Linked DNA regions of Canis lupus familiaris. The protein of the gene in region 3 interacts with the protein of the main gene of each other region in a biochemical or structural test. Links are inferred from orthologs where the notes say so. Each region holds a gene or a part of one and is shown on either strand. Other genes may lie near its edges.

What was found.
Region 1: the proteins of XRCC1 (region 3) and POLB form a complex in vitro, tested with the Homo sapiens proteins (5 studies listed by BioGRID, with this or other methods). The link is inferred for Canis lupus familiaris from reciprocal best matches to the Homo sapiens genes XRCC1 and POLB.
Region 2: the proteins of XRCC1 (region 3) and PNKP form a complex in vitro, tested with the Homo sapiens proteins (3 studies listed by BioGRID and IntAct, with this or other methods). The link is inferred for Canis lupus familiaris from reciprocal best matches to the Homo sapiens genes XRCC1 and PNKP.

The regions. Positions count from the first base shown.
Region 1 is NC_049237.1:24,044,015-24,049,079, reverse strand, and holds part of POLB (DNA polymerase beta), read left to right. Parts: intron 1-1,307; coding exon 1,308-1,378; intron 1,379-2,092; coding exon 2,093-2,179; intron 2,180-5,065.
Region 2 is NC_049222.1:107,373,787-107,378,800, forward strand, and holds the end of PNKP (bifunctional polynucleotide phosphatase/kinase), read left to right. Parts: intron 1-415; coding exon 416-495; intron 496-574; coding exon 575-632; intron 633-726; coding exon 727-834; intron 835-1,143; coding exon 1,144-1,215; intron 1,216-2,235; coding exon 2,236-2,284; intron 2,285-2,362; coding exon 2,363-2,433; intron 2,434-2,517; coding exon 2,518-2,610; intron 2,611-2,684; coding exon 2,685-2,781; intron 2,782-2,867; coding exon 2,868-2,929; intron 2,930-3,092; coding exon 3,093-3,202; intron 3,203-3,281; coding exon 3,282-3,369; intron 3,370-3,452; coding exon 3,453-3,514; intron 3,515-3,606; coding exon 3,607-3,724; 3' UTR 3,725-3,763; downstream 3,764-5,014. UniProt on the Homo sapiens protein: Plays a key role in the repair of DNA damage, functioning as part of both the non-homologous end-joining (NHEJ) and base excision repair (BER) pathways.
Region 3 is NC_049222.1:112,284,455-112,289,327, forward strand, and holds the end of XRCC1 (DNA repair protein XRCC1), read left to right. Parts: intron 1-727; coding exon 728-821; intron 822-953; coding exon 954-1,086; intron 1,087-1,497; coding exon 1,498-1,552; intron 1,553-1,648; coding exon 1,649-1,788; intron 1,789-2,859; coding exon 2,860-2,950; intron 2,951-3,334; coding exon 3,335-3,410; intron 3,411-3,515; coding exon 3,516-3,629; 3' UTR 3,630-3,714; downstream 3,715-4,873. UniProt on the Homo sapiens protein: Scaffold protein involved in DNA single-strand break repair by mediating the assembly of DNA break repair protein complexes. Negatively regulates ADP-ribosyltransferase activity of PARP1 during base-excision repair in order to prevent excessive PARP1 activity.

The DNA.
Region 1 (5,065 bases), on a different chromosome or scaffold from region 3:
ACATTACTAGTGCTTATCATGATAAATGTACTCTTAATTCCCTTGACCTATTTCACCCATCCTGCCTGCCTACATTCTCTCTGGCAACTACCATTCTCTATTTGAAGAGTCTGTTTTTTATTTTTTTTAATATTTTATTTATTTATTTATTTATTTATTTATTTATTTATTTATTTATTTATTTATAAGATTTTATTTATTTATTCATGAGATATGCAGAGAGAGAGGCAGAGACATAGAGGGAGAAGCAGGCTCCATGCAGGGAGCCCGATGCGGGACTTGGTCCTGGGACCCTGGGATCATGCCCTGAGATGAAGGCAGACACTCAACCACTGAGCCACCCGGGTGTCACTGTCTGTTTTGTTTTTTAAATTCCATATAAGAGTGAAATCATATGGTAATTGTCTTTCTATGACTGATTTACTTCACTTAGCATAATATCCTCTGCATCCATCCATGTTGTTGCAAATGGCAAGATTCGTGGGTTTTTTTATGGCTAAGTAATATTCTATTGTGTGTATTTACCATATCTTCATTCATCTGTCGATGGACTGCTTGGTCATCTATTGATGGAAACTTGGTTGCTTCCGATTCTTGGCTTTTGTAAATAATGTTTCAGTAAACATAGGAGTGCATGTTATCTTTATGAATTAGTGTTTTTTGTTGGGTAACTACCTAGCAGTAGAACTACTGGATCATATGGTTATTTTATTTTATTTTATTTTATTTTATTAATTAATTAATTTATTGGCAATTTTATTTTTAATTTTTGGGAGAACCTCTATACTGTGTTCCAGAGTGGCTGCATTAGTTTGCACTCCCACCAACAGTGCAAGAGGGTTCCCCTTGTTCCATGTCCTCGCCAACACCTGTTGTTTCTAGTGTTGCTAATGTTAGCCATTCTGACAGGTTTGAAGTGGTATCTCATTGTGGTTTTGATTTGCATTTCCCAGATGATGGGCATCTTTTGGTGTGTCTCTTGGCCATCTGAATGTCTTCTTTGTAAGAATGTTGTTTTTATTCATTATTGAGTAGTTATTTAGGTGCATTTTTAATACATGTAGCCAACTGTGCGTAATACATATCTAATGCCAGTTACTGTTGTTACTCCAGATTCTTCCATTTACATCAGCCTATGTGAATAGCTGAACAGAAAATTGAAATCTTGTAACTGAGTATGAAGTGTAGTGAAAAAGAAAGTTAGGCTGGAAGAAGTAAGCTCATACATGTGACATCACTTTGGTTTCTGCGTTTGCCTAATTGATAGATTTACATCGAGAATTCCATACATATTTTTATTATCATAGGTGCAGAGTCCAGTGGTGACATGGATGTTCTTTTGACCCATCCAAGCTTTACCTCTGAATCAGCCAAACAGGTATCACAGGATTTATTTATAATCAAATGTGCTAAGTCTTATGCAACAGTGAATATCATTTTCTACATGGCAGTTGGATATCCCGGAATGAATTTTTGTTTTAATCTTTCTGAAAAGTCAGTTGTACTTTGTACTGATTGAATTCTGTGAAAGGCAGAGTAAGTGGTTGAAAGGGATACATTTAAAAAAAAAAAAAAAAAGCAAGGGAATACATAGTGGTGTTTTTCTGCAGGGAATTAGGGACAGTCTGATTTTTGAAAAAGAAAAAAATTTAGTAAACATTTCCAGAATTATTTATTATCTATCATGGATATTTCTAAAATATCCAGTATAATATTGAGGTTTTCATTAAGGTAATATTTTTCTATTAAGCAATATTATATTAAGAAACTTTATTCCTATTAGAAAACCCATGAAAGCAAAACATTTGTGATTTTAGAATATATACCTTTTAAAGATGAAGCAGCTAACTTTTTGATTTAATGAAGCAGATAAACACAAATGATGTCTGTTTGGGGGTATCATGATATTGGTGAAGAATGGTGGCTCCTAAAAATATGTTTCATTTGATAAATGAATTTTGTGCTAGAAGAAAAAAGTACTTAGAACAGAGGAATACTAGGCATTTCTCCATAGATAATCAGAAAATTTATGTTAAAAATGTTTTTTTATTAATCTTATTAATCTTCTTATTTCCTATTTATGTTTCCACAGCCAAAACTGTTACATCGTGTTGTGGAACAGTTACAGAAGGTCCATTTTATTACAGATACTCTGTCAAAAGGAGAAACAAAGTTCATGGTAAGTACTCATTGGAGGTAACACTTCTGAAAAAATACCTTGGAAAACTGTTCAGTAACCATTCTGAGTATGTGACCTCAGTGCATCTTAGTATTACAGTCAATAAATAGGATATCCATGAAAATATACAGAAAATTAGCAGGATACTACTCCCAGAATATTTTAGTAAAGAATTTTAAGTTCCCTATTTGTAAATAATCTGTGCCATTGGAATACATAATTAGGCGTAATCTGCTCTTTTTAAAAGATATCTATAAATGACTTTGACACATCTAAGTTTTTCCTTAAAATAGCAAATATTCTCATATTCTCTGACTCAACTTCAGTAAGTGAGAAGAATTTTTTGAAGAATATTAATCTGTTACAACACCAAAAAAAAAAAAAAAAAAATCTGTTACAACACCAAAGAGAAGAAATTAGAGTATGTGATAAAAACAAATTATGTGGCTTGATAAGCAGAGGAGTTAACAGAGAGACACTTGCAAAGATTTTCACAGTGACATCATGACGAACTGTTAAAATCCTGTAATCTTCTTAGGGAATTAAGCTTTGAAGATTCAAGACAGATGGCAAATGAGTTAAAAAAGAGGTTAATAAGTGTCCCTGCATTGGGGATCCCTGGGTGGCTCAGTGGTTTAGCGCTGGCCTTCGGCTCAGGGCGTGATCCTGGAGTTCTGGGATCAAGTCCCACATCGGGCTCCCTGCATGGAGCCTGCTTCTCCCTCTGCCTGTGTCTCTGCCTCTCTCTCTCTCTCTCTCTCTCTCTCTCTGTCTCTCTCTGTGTCTCTCATGAATAAATAAATAAAATCTTAAAAAAAAAAAAAAAAAAGTCCCTGCATAAAAACCAACAGGAAGGCAAATAGCAATCTAGGACTAAGGTAATAAAAAGTGCTCACTTAAATTTGTACTTTTAATCCCCCTTTTCCCAAGTTATATGCCTGAAATGGAAAGAGAATGTGCTTTTGGAGAATGGACATGTTAATATTAGCAAGAGTCTCACTGCATAGATTTGACAGTGGTTTAAACCAACAGTAGAAGATAGTTGAGATAGATCATTGAAATATCCTGTCATTCAGAAAGTGGAATGGTGCTTGCCAGGGGCCTATAGGGAAGTGGTATAGGGAATTACTATGTAACAGATACAGAATTTCAGTTGGGGAGGAGGAAACGTTTGGGAGGTGATGGTGGTGGTAGTTGCACAACAATGTGAATATACTTAATGGTATAGAACTGCACACTTAAAAATGGTTAAAATGGCAAACTTTATGTAGTGTATATTTCATCAGACCACAAAAAATCATGTCATTAAATTCAACGTGGTGATTTTAATGGGGTATGAAACTGTATTGCCAAAGTTGGTCATATTTTATAGTGTTTTCAAAAGAATGTTGGGAAAGGTAAAAATTCTAGTCAGTGTTTGGAAGTTAAATCTATGAGCTCTTCTCCCAGATCTATCAGATTTGGAGCTTTTACTCTAGGCCCAGGATTATAGACACATGAGATGTTATTAAAAATAGGGTTTATATATGCTCTAGGAATATCACTTTTAAATTGAGATTGATTTTAATTCATTCAAAATGAATGTGCACAAATCTTACATTTAAAGAACAATTCAATCAGATAAAATCCTGAAAATAGCATGTGCTAGACAAGTTGAATTTTTTTTTTTTTCAGTCAGGAAAGTGTCCTGGTATGCCTGGGCATCTCTGTGAAAGGCCCTAGACTTTTACTGGAGAAGCACATCAGCTCTTTTGAGAGCGACCAAGAAGGTGTTTATGCAATGCAGTAGCAGACGCACTTCTTCGCAGTCTGAACAGTTTTCTTCTTTGCTCAGAGGGAGATCCAGAGGAAACATTAGCAGAAGCTAGTAATCCAGCTAGTAAGAATACAAAGAAACAAGTTGGTAGGCTGGGTATAAGGTGGAAAGGAAAGGTGGGTAGCCACAAAGATGTGAACATGAAGAGTTGCTGGCAGTGGTGGACTTGGGTAGCTGCTCAGCCGTAGAAGAGAAGACTTTTGTCTAGCAGCCTAATTCCAGTGACTTCTGCAAACCACTTTGGTTCAGATCTTATCATACATGTGATACTTGAAAGACTAAGGCCAACTGACCGATCCTAGGCCAGGGCTGGACTTGTGGAAACCTTTGCTCTGGCTGGCCTTTCCAATCTCTCAATCATACTCCTAACAGCACATCTACAGCTATCGCCAGAAAGAGAATACCTCAAATCGATTTCCAGAAGGAAACAGGTTAAAAAAAATAAGCAAGTGGGTTTTTTGTTTGTTTTTAAAGTCGAGAAAACTAAGGCCTTTATGTTGTGTCATAGGAATCCATCTTAGTGAATAGCTTGTGTATGAAGTTTGGATACTGTACATGTGTCTCATATTCTCTGAAGCTTAAAAAATGCCATGTTTGAGCCTGTTTTGACATTTATAATTAGTATATGTTAGGATAAGGAGCAATCCAGTTTAGCTTTCAAATCAATTTATTGTGGAAGCATTAAGAGGTGATTTGTTTCTAGTTGCAAAGAAACTAGATATTCTTATATCATTGAATAGGATGATCCAAAGCAGCCAGTGTGAGGGGAGGAGTCTTGGGGAGGGCTTGAGGTAAGGGAGCTAGCCAGAGAGCAGGGCTGGAGCCAGAGCAGTGAGGAGGGGGCGTGGGCATTTAGCAGAAATAGCCAAAAAAGATGAGATCTGTTTCTGAAAGAAATTGGCAGCAAAATGAATTCCACTTACAAAGTGGAATAGAGCTGGGCACCTTGCTGGCTCAGTGGAGCATGTGACTCTTGATCTCAGGGTTGTGACTTTGAGCCAATGTTGGGCCTAGAGATTATAAAAAAACAAAACATCAAAGTGGAATCAACCATTTTCATTCCACATCCA
Region 2 (5,014 bases), about 4.9 Mb from region 3:
CCCCCCAGTCCCCTGTAAAGTAATAAACCCAGAAAAGCGCATGGCTCAGTCCTCTACATGTGGTTTGCACCCAACTTCACTCCTGTATTCATTTTCACTGTTATTAGCCTGAAGTGAAGGCCAGGGGAGGTGGGTGAGTATGACGTGAACCCCATTTTAAAGGCTGGCATACCCAGGGGCATAGGAGAAATAGGAGATGGTACAGTGAAGATCTCGGGCTCTGCACTCAGGTGGTAGGGACACATTCTTCCTGTGCCTTCCCCTAAACGTAAGATGTGTAGGCTGTGACTCAGTTTCCCATTTAGTGACGGGCAAGTGGTAATGTCTCTACGTTGCAGAGGTGACGTGATGTAGCCTGTGAGTCGAGATCAGAGGCATAACAGGGTCGCTGTTCCTCTTTTCTTGCTGACATCAGGTGGCTGGCTTTGATTTGGACGGGACCCTCATCACCACACGCTCTGGGAAAGTCTTTCCCACCGGCCCCACCGACTGGAGGTGATAAGAGGCAGACCAAGGGGGTGAGTGAGGCCCCCGTGGGCCCCAGGTCACCTACCTGCTTTCCCACCCACCCTAGGATCTTATACCTGGAGATTCCACGTAAGCTCCGGGAGCTGGATGCCGAAGGCTACAAGGTATGTGTGCTTTTGTGCATGGAGACCAGGCCACAGGGAGGCTGGGGCCCCACTGAGAAGGGCACCAGGTGACATCCATGCTTCCCCCCCCCAGCTGGTGATCTTCACCAACCAGATGGCCATTGGGCGCGGGAAGCTGCCGGCAGAGGAGTTCAAGGCTAAAGTGGAGGCTGTGGTGGAGAAACTGGGCCTCCCCTTTCAGGTATGGCTGCAAGGGAGCTTGAGTCATAGAGGTTGGGGGACAGGGACCCAGACAGAGGCAGGGACAGAGTTAGTGTCACGGTGTCAGACCGTGACAGAGAGGAGGGAACAGAGACCCAGGGAGAAGGCATACGTACCAGAAGGCAGTGGAGGCCCCCCGGCAGGGTTATGCTGGTAGAAACCCATCATAAATGGGTTCTTGGGCATCTGGAGTCCTCTGGGTTGGTGAAGGGGTAGCATCCCTGGCACCCATGCACCCTCGAAGGATTTGGGGAAGGAGCCCAGGAGGGTGTCTGACCTTCACCCACAGGTGCTGGTGGCCACACACGCCGGCTTGTACCGGAAGCCAGTGATCGGCATGTGGGACCATCTGCGGGAACAGGTGAGTGGTGGCCTCCCAGTAGCTCCCTTCTTCCCTCACTCAGCCCAGCCTCCCCCTGCCACAGGTCTCTGCTGTTTGGCCACCTCCTCTCTCCTCTTCTCATCTCATTCCCTGGTCCTTGCCTCCTTTTCCACCAGTCCCAGTCTAGGTACAGGCGGACAGCACTCTTCAACTCTGAAGATCAGGATGGTCCAGGGACACATCAGTTGTCCATGTATTCTCTTGTGTGTGCCTTTGTTCTGAAGCTCAACAGCTTCTTGAGCTGAATTTGTTAGCGTATGAGACAGACCTGCTGGGGCTCACATACCAGCGAGGGTGCAGACTAGAGGTGCACAGACTGGGTGTGAAATGGTGGGAGTGAAGTGAGGTGAGGCAGGGTTTACCTACAGGGGTTAGGTAGGCCTCTCCAAGGTGCCCTTGTAATTATGAAGCTAGTGAGGGAGGGAGCCTCGCAGGGGAACCTAGGAAGAGCTTCCAGGTGGGAGTAACAGCATGTGTAAAGCACATGTAAAGGTCCCGAGGCAGGGCTATGACTAGTGTGTTCAGGGACAGTGAAGAGGCCTGGGTAGCAGGACCTGAATGGATGATGGGGTAAGGGTGGGGCGTAGGGTCAGAGATCGGGCAGGTGTCAGATCGTGAGGCCTTGTGGGTAAGGTAAGGTCTTCCCTTTTACCCAGCCAGGGGGCAAAGGGATGGGGCCCAGGAGGGCTGGGAGGAGAGGAATCTACAGAAGTGGGAACTGACACCCCCCTGGTGGCTGTGTAGGGAACAGACGCAATGGGGATGGAACAGTGAAGGGGGGTAGGAAGTGGCCCAGCAGTGGCAGCGCCACCAGGATATGATGCTGAACTGGGGCAGGAGAGGCCAGACGTGCCACCAGGATATGATGCTGAACTGGGGCAGGAGAGGCCAGACGTCAGGCCCAGCTCAGCATCCTCGCAACCCCCATTAGTATTCTAGGGGAGCAGGCATGGGAGTGGGTGGGTTCCTTACTGCCTGTTGTCACCTGTCCCTCCCTAGGGCAACGAAGGTGTGCCTGTCTCCATCGGGGACAGCATGTTCGTGGGAGGTAAGGACCCAGGGATGGGGAGTGTGTGGATCCCCTCGGCTGGGCCGCTGGTGGACATGGAGCTGTCTTCTGTCCCAGATGCAGCTGGACGACCAGCCAACTGGGCCCCTGGCCGAAAGAAGAAAGACTTCTCTTGTGCAGACCGTCTGGTGAGGCTCCTTTCCCCTGCTGGCCTGGAGCTGTGTCCCCACCTTATCTGATGTCTGTGTCCCCTGTCGTCCCCTCCCCGCCAGTTTGCTCTCAACCTTGGCCTGCCCTTCGCCACACCAGAGGAGTTCTTTCTCAAGTGGCCCGTTGCCAACTTCGTGCTCCCCACCTTTGACCCGGTGAGGCCTTCGGGGTGGGAGTGGGAGTCGGGAGAGGAGGAGAGGGTCTTGCTCATCACTACCACCCCTCCCAGAGAACCGTCTCCCCCTCGGGGCCGCTTTGCCTCCCGGAGTCCAGCTCCCTCTTGAGCCACGACCCTGAAGTGGTTGTCGCCGTGGGATTTCCTGGGGGTGAGACACCTTGACCCCTTGACCTCAGAAGCCCCAGTCCAGCTCTGGGTCCTTGGGCCCCCACTGACCTTGCCCCTGCCTCACAGCTGGCAAGTCCACCTTCCTCCAAGAGCATCTTGTGTCAGCAGGATACGTGCACGTGAACAGGGTGAGACAGGCCCCCCCCCAATGTGCCCAGGCTGAGCGCAGAGTCCCTGATCCTTCCATCTTCTGTGCCCATTCCCTACCCCACCTAGGTTCTCCCTAGGTGTCTGCTTCCCTTGTTTCTCCTGCCCTCTCCCACTCAGGGTCTGTCACCTTGTATCCCCCAGGACACCCTGGGCTCATGGCAGCGCTGCGTGACCACGTGTGAGAATGCTCTAAAGCAGAGGAAACGGGTTGTGATTGACAACACAAACCCAGACCCTCCGACCCGGGCCAGGTACTGGGCTCCCATGGGCAGCCTCTATAGGGTGGGCTCAGCACCCCTTACCAGCCTGGCCCCTTCCTGGCCCCAACAGGTACATTAAGTGTGCCCGAGACGCAGGTGTGCCCTGCCGCTGCTTCCTCTTCAGCACCACCCTGGAGCATGCACGCCACAATAACCGGGTAAGCTGGCCCCTGCCCCTGCCGTCCCGACCGCCTCCAGGCCCCCAATTCCCAGACCTAACCCCAACCCCCACCCCCTGCAGTTCCGAGAGATGACGGGCTCCTCTCACGCCCCCGTGTCCGATGTGGTCATGTATGGCTACAGGTAAACACAGAAGCCTAGTGGGGAGGTGAGGAGGTGGGGGGTGGACCGGACCCCAGCTGGGTCTCACCTTCCCCCATCACCCCTGCTGCCAGAAAGCAGTTCGAGGCCCCGACCCTGGCAGAAGGATTTTCGGCAATCCTGGAAATCCCGTTCCGGCTGAACCTGGAGCCTCGGCTTGAACGGCTCTACTGCCAGTTCTCAGAGGGCTGAGCTGCGCATCCCCACCCCCCCCGCCCCCGCCCCCGCCCCTGCCCCTGCCCCTGCCCCCAATAAATTGTTTTTTTTTTTTTTTTAAGCTTGGACAGCATCATGCTGAAAGAAGGGTAGTCTACCCAGTGAGGACAGGCACCCGGGCGAGTCCCCGGGGACGGGGGAGCACAGACCTGCCGGCCTCCCAGGCCTCGGGGCACGGACCCCCAGGGATCTGCGCTGAGCTGCGCACTCGGACCACAGGCCTTTCCCAGGGAGGGTAGTTTAGGCTTCCTCAGAACTGTGGCTGTGGGCACCCTAAACAGAGGGTGGGGAATCCAGAGGGGCAGGGCCCAAAGGGGTGCGGGGTGGGGGCGGGGGCTTTTCCTCACCCGCGGGCTGCCCAGCTGCAGAGCCAGCCAAGGAGCACCCATGATGTGACCCTGAGGACAAGAGCTGGATCCCGAATCTGGTGAGTGAGGAATGGCAGCCCGGACCTGAGCAGTAGGGGGCGCTGCTGAGAGCCCTGCCAGGCCCCAAACCCCCAGCAAGTCCTGGATGGCCTGTGTTTGCTGCCAGCCAAGTGAGGCCTGTTGAATCCCAAAGGATGGAGGAGAGCAGGCCCTGGGCCCAGGAATACAGCCAGCCAGCTCCAGGGAGGCCCAGGAAGATGGGGCCACCATCCGCTGCGTGGGCCAGTCAGCTGGGGACACACCTGCCCCTGAAGGCACAAGCAGCTCTGTGAAGAGTGTCCTTCCTTCTAGCTCAGGTGACCTCACGAAAGGTGGCCTCCCCCAGAAATCTGATGGAAATTCATACTCCTGGGTCCCATCAAGCTGAGGGACTCTAGCCTAGGGCAGGGGGCCTTAGGCCATCAGCCTTCTGGGAACCCATGGCGCTCGGCTCCACTGGCATCTCCCCTGCCAAGGCATCTGGACACGGAGCCTAGTGGCCAACGGGCTTTTAAAAGACTTTATTGGGGAAACGTACAGGGGTGGGGACCGTCCGCGGAGACCTCTCCGGACGCTGTCCTCCATCTCGCTGGGCAGTAGCCATCCCCAGGGGCCCCTGCTCAGAAGCATCTGACCTGGGGGCAGGAGGAGAGTGGGAGGGCCTGGACAGGGCCTCCCAGCACCCCATGGGCCCTCCAATCCCAGCCTGGAAACCACAGCTTCATCACCTCCTGGGGGAGAGAGGGCTATACTTGCCCAGGAGACCCTGGGGACCACAAGGCACAGATACGCCTCTCTGCTTGGAACTCCACGCCAGGGTCACATGATCATATCCCAAACCCGGACACCACTGAGGGTC
Region 3 (4,873 bases):
GCTCCTTGTCCCCACACTGGGCAGCGCCGGGGATCTGGAGAGTGGTTAGACCAGGGCCTGCCAGTGGGGAACACAGGCGGGCTCCTCCAGCGTCAGCAGGCTTCTGAGAGGCAGGGCAGGGGCTGCACGGCTGCTGAGGAGGAGGGAGGACTTTCCCAGGGTCTCAGGGCTCTGTGAAGTCTGCTTAGGGAGACTGAGAAGCATGGCAGGCTGGAGAAATTGCTGCAAAAGGCGCATGTGCCTAGCATGTGGGAAATCCCATGTAAGCATCAGCTGTTCTTGTTGTGATAGAGCTAGGGACCCCTTCTCCTGGAGTGTCAGCCACTTAAGGTCCCATGCCATGAATATAGTGTCAAGGTCTTTAAAAACATATTTGCTTTTGAGGATTTTCCCTTGACTGATAGGTATTCTCCTAATGAGAAACTGCTTTTGATTCTCAAAGGGGAAAATTATTTCTGGGTTGTTGTTGTTTTTTTCCTTTCTGAAATGGGGCATTTCTTTCCCAAGAGGGCGGGGAAGCAAGCCAGTGAGGCCCATGTCTCTGCTGTGGGTGGCTGTGGTGACTGATGGGTTCAGTGGGGCCCTTCCAAACCTGGAAGCCAGGGCATCCTGAATGATTAGTAAATGCCATTTGCTGTGGCTTCCTGAGCACTGGCCCCCACGCCCACCTCATATCCTCTGGAGGACACGATATGCCGTTTGTCTGAGGCCTGATTCCTCCTCCTAGGTACCTCATGGCAGGACCAAGCTCCAGCAGTGAGGATGAGGGGGGCTCTCACAGCGGCAGCAGCGGGGATGAGGCCCCCAAGCTTCCCCAAAAGGTCCTATGCCCCCTGCCATGGTGGGGAAGGTGCAGTGGGAGGAAGACATGGGTCTGTTGTGGAACCCCAGACTCTCCATCCTTGTCTTCAGCAAGAACACATACTCATACCCATGCTGCCTTCCCTTCTCAGCGCCCCCAGACCAAAACTAAGCTGCCTCAGGCAGCAGGACCCAGCTCACCCCAGAGACCCAAAACCCCAGAAGAGACCAAACCAGCCTCACCAGGGCCCCAGGAAGATACGGACAGTGAGGGGGAGCAGTCAGGTCAGAACCTAAGGGAGGAGGGGTTGGGGGCCTGGACTCTTGGGTCTGAGGGAGGGAAGGGGTTTTAGGTCTTAAGCCTGAGAGAAGAGGGGGCTGGGGACCTGGACTGCTGGGTTCTTGGAGAAGAGAGGGATGAGATCCTTCAGATCTGAAGGGAGGAGAAGGGGCTGGGGCCTGGACTCCTGCATCTGAGGGAGAAGATGGCTGGAAACCCAGACTCCTGTATCTAAGGGAGGTAGGGCTGGATCCCAGACAGTGGACCTAGGGGAGGGGAGGCTGAAGTCCCAGATAACTGGATCTGGAGGGCAGTTGAGGTTGAGGCCTGGCATGCCTGCATCTGTGCTTGGGCGAGAGACCAAGAAGGAAGGTTACCAAACACGTGCCCTTCATTGACCAAGCTTCCACTTGCAGAAGAACAGGGCAATGGGGCAGAAGATTCTGGGGATACCGAGGATGAGCTGAGAAGGTAAGGTGGGGCTGGGGGTGTCGAGGTAGTCCCAGACTTGGGTGGAGGGGGATCTGGTCTGCATGCTCTTCCCCCACGCCCTGTTGTCTCTCCCAGGGTGGCTGAGCAGAGGGAACAGAAGCAGCCCCCTGACCAGGGGGAAAATGGTGAGGACCCGTATGCAGGATCCACAGACGAGAACACAGACCACGAGGGTCCCCCAGAGTCTCCTGACCTGCCAGTTCCCGAGCTCCCAGGTAGGAAATCCCTCCCTGCCTCCTTACATGGGATCTGCCTTTCTCAGTTCTCAGCTGTGACTCCCACCACCCAACCCTTGGATTGAGGCTGCTTCCCATGACTTGTGATTTGTCTCCCCACCTCCTTCCCCCATAATCCCTGCCTCTGCTACCTTTTTGTTGTCTTAGGAAGCAGACACCCTCTTATGACTTCCCTCTCTGTTCCCCCTCCTGACTTCCTGCTGTGACCGCCTCCATCACAGCCCAGGGCTGGGCATGACCCCCTCTGGCTTTCTACTCAAGTGCCAATGGTGCCTCCTTCACCTGCCTCTCGGGTTCAGGTCTGTCAGCATGGGAGGTCACCCAGGCACACAGGTGACATGGGCATGGGTCTCTTGGGGCCTCAGTGGTGATGGCATTGCTATTTGTCCTCCTAACATGAGTGCAGGGGGCATGGGACAGGCAGGGGTGAGAACCTTGGCCAACAGAGAATGGAGGGAGGAGCTAGGCAGCCAGGGTCTGCACAGAGGTGAGGGTCAGTGGCAACTGGAAGAGGCTATTTCTATACGGTTCCCTGTGGGTCTGATGGGCAGGAAAGTGCTTTGATCCTCCAAAGCCCCAAAAGTGTCATCCGCAGATTGATGATTTGGAGAACTATGTTAAGATGGAACAAAGAACAGAGGTGTCCTGAAGGTCAGAGCCGGGGAAGGCACTGGCTGGTAGAGGACTGTGACAGCCAGGGTGAGCAAGTGACAGGCTCTAAGGCTGTGAACTGGGCCACATGAGCTAGGTGCCACCAGCCCATCTGTGATGTACCTCATGGAAGAAACACATAGCAGTAATAGTCATTTTGTCTCTCACCATGAAAGCAAAGCAAAACAAAACAAAACTCCAGTTCCCAGAAAAGTTCTATGGGCCTGGCTGAGAATCACCGTTTGTGACAAATGTCTCTGCCAGGGCATGAATGAACAGGCCTCCCAGCCACTATACTGGCCTCCTTCGGGTCTTGCCTTCAAGTGCTCTGTGGCTCCTGGCTGGTGCTTTGAAACTCCAGGCGCCTCACACTTGGCACCTCCACCATCTTTCCTGCAGACTTCTTCCAGGGCAAACACTTCTTCTTGTACGGAGAATTCCCTGGGGACGAGCGGCGGAAGCTCAGGCGATATGTCACAGCCTTCAATGGGTCAGTCTCCAGGGGTGGGGGCGAGGGCAGAGAGGGATTATGCTAAGTTGTGGGAAGGAAGGCGATTGGGAAGATGGAGAAGGGGTACAGCCTGCTGGATGGGCACAGGCTCTGCTTGCTCTGCTGGGCCCCCCGGGATGTATAACTTTCCCTCTCTTCCTCTTCTCTACAATGAGGCCCCCTCTTCCTGCTCACCTTCTGAAAGGATTAGCAGTAGTGGGAGCCCTTGGTATTGTGGCTGTGGCAAGGCTGGCTCGGGGAGAGTGGGGGCCCACAGGGTAGCCCGTAGGGAATGGAGGTGAGGATGAAGGGAAGACAGCCTTGGAGAATGGTTGAGGAGTCGGATGTCAGGAGAAGAGACACTGACTCTCTGCCTCCTGCCAGGGAACTTGAGGACTATATGAGTGACCGGGTCCAGTTTGTGATCACTGCACAAGAGTGGGACCCCAGTTTTGAGGAGGTGAGCTCCAGAGGGGTGGGGAAAGGGACACCCAGCCCGCCCTTGTGTCACCTCCACCATCACCTCACTCACATGTTCCTGTATTCACCCCTCCCCACCCTGCAGGCCCTGATGGACAACCCCTCCTTGGTGTTTGTCCGGCCCCGATGGATCTACAGTTGCAACGAGAAGCAGAAGTTACTTCCCCACCAGCTTTATGGGGTGGTGCCCCAGGCCTAGAGTATGTGCTTGCATGCACTTGCACATGCTTGAGCGCGCGCGCACACACAAGATGAGCTCAATAAAGGTGATCTGGTTTGGAGTAGCTGCCCCTCTTACTCAGAAATCTCCTGAACCTCCTAGAGGGCCCCAGATTGTTGTCATAAGTTTGGTTTTTGCTTCCCTTCTGAGGGTCAGGTGTCTTGGCTGCCTTAAGACCCCTGCCCTGGGGTCCTAGAAAGAATGAGGGGCTCTCTTTCAGGGGTTAGATAGGGAAGGAGCTCTTTGTCACTTCTCCCTGGCAACTTACCCCTGTAGTGGCAGGTGGCCGGGAATTGGGATTCTAACCCATTGAGCCCATTCCTAGGTCTTGTTTGTCCCTTTCTGAGTCCTGGGCTGGAGGCCTAGATGCTCGTGAGGTGTGCTTCCCAGCTCCCCCGGGGCCAGGGATATCTCCCTTTTTTTCAGGGCTTTCAGAAGTGGTTGTGGAACTGTCCCCAGCATGGTAGAACAGGGGGAAGGGGCATTTGAGCCCCCTCAAGCCTCCACCACATTTAAGTTGGGAACTGGGCAAGTGTTAGAGAAGTGGACGGAAGGTAGGATGGAGTTCTAGGCAGGGGCCGGGGCATGGGCAAAGGCCTGGCTCCCTGGGGTCAGTTGCTTAAGAGGCTTTAGGGGCAGATCTGTCTGGAAGGATGGACATAGTCTTTGCAGCTTTGCTAACATGGTAGCCTGTGGACCTGGGTAACTATAAATGAACTGCAATGAAATGAAGGGGAAATTTTACTCTGTTGATGACACTGGCTACCCTGCAGGTGTTCTGTGGCTGCTGTAATAGAGAGCACAGATAGAGTACATTTGCTTCACTATAGAAGCAAAAGGACAGGGCTGTCCCGAAGGGCTGTGAACACCAGGTTGAGAAGCGTGGATGTTATCCTGGAGCTGGGAAGGTCAGGAAGGGGTTGGAACAGTCAGATCTCAATAACAAATGACCATAAACTTAGTGTCTTAAGCCCACGGAAACTTAGAACTTTCCAGGTCTGGATGTCTCACATCCAAAATGGGTCTACGGGGCTAAAATTCAGGGTGTAGGCAGGGCTGTGTTCCTTTGGAGGCTCTGGGGGAAATCTGCTTTCTTGTCTTTTCCCCTTGTCTTCTGTATTCTTTTTTTTTTTTTTTTTTAAGATTTTTTAATTGTTTATTTAAATACACAGAGAGGAGAGAGAGGCAGAGACACAGGCAGAGGGAGAAGCAGACTCCATGCA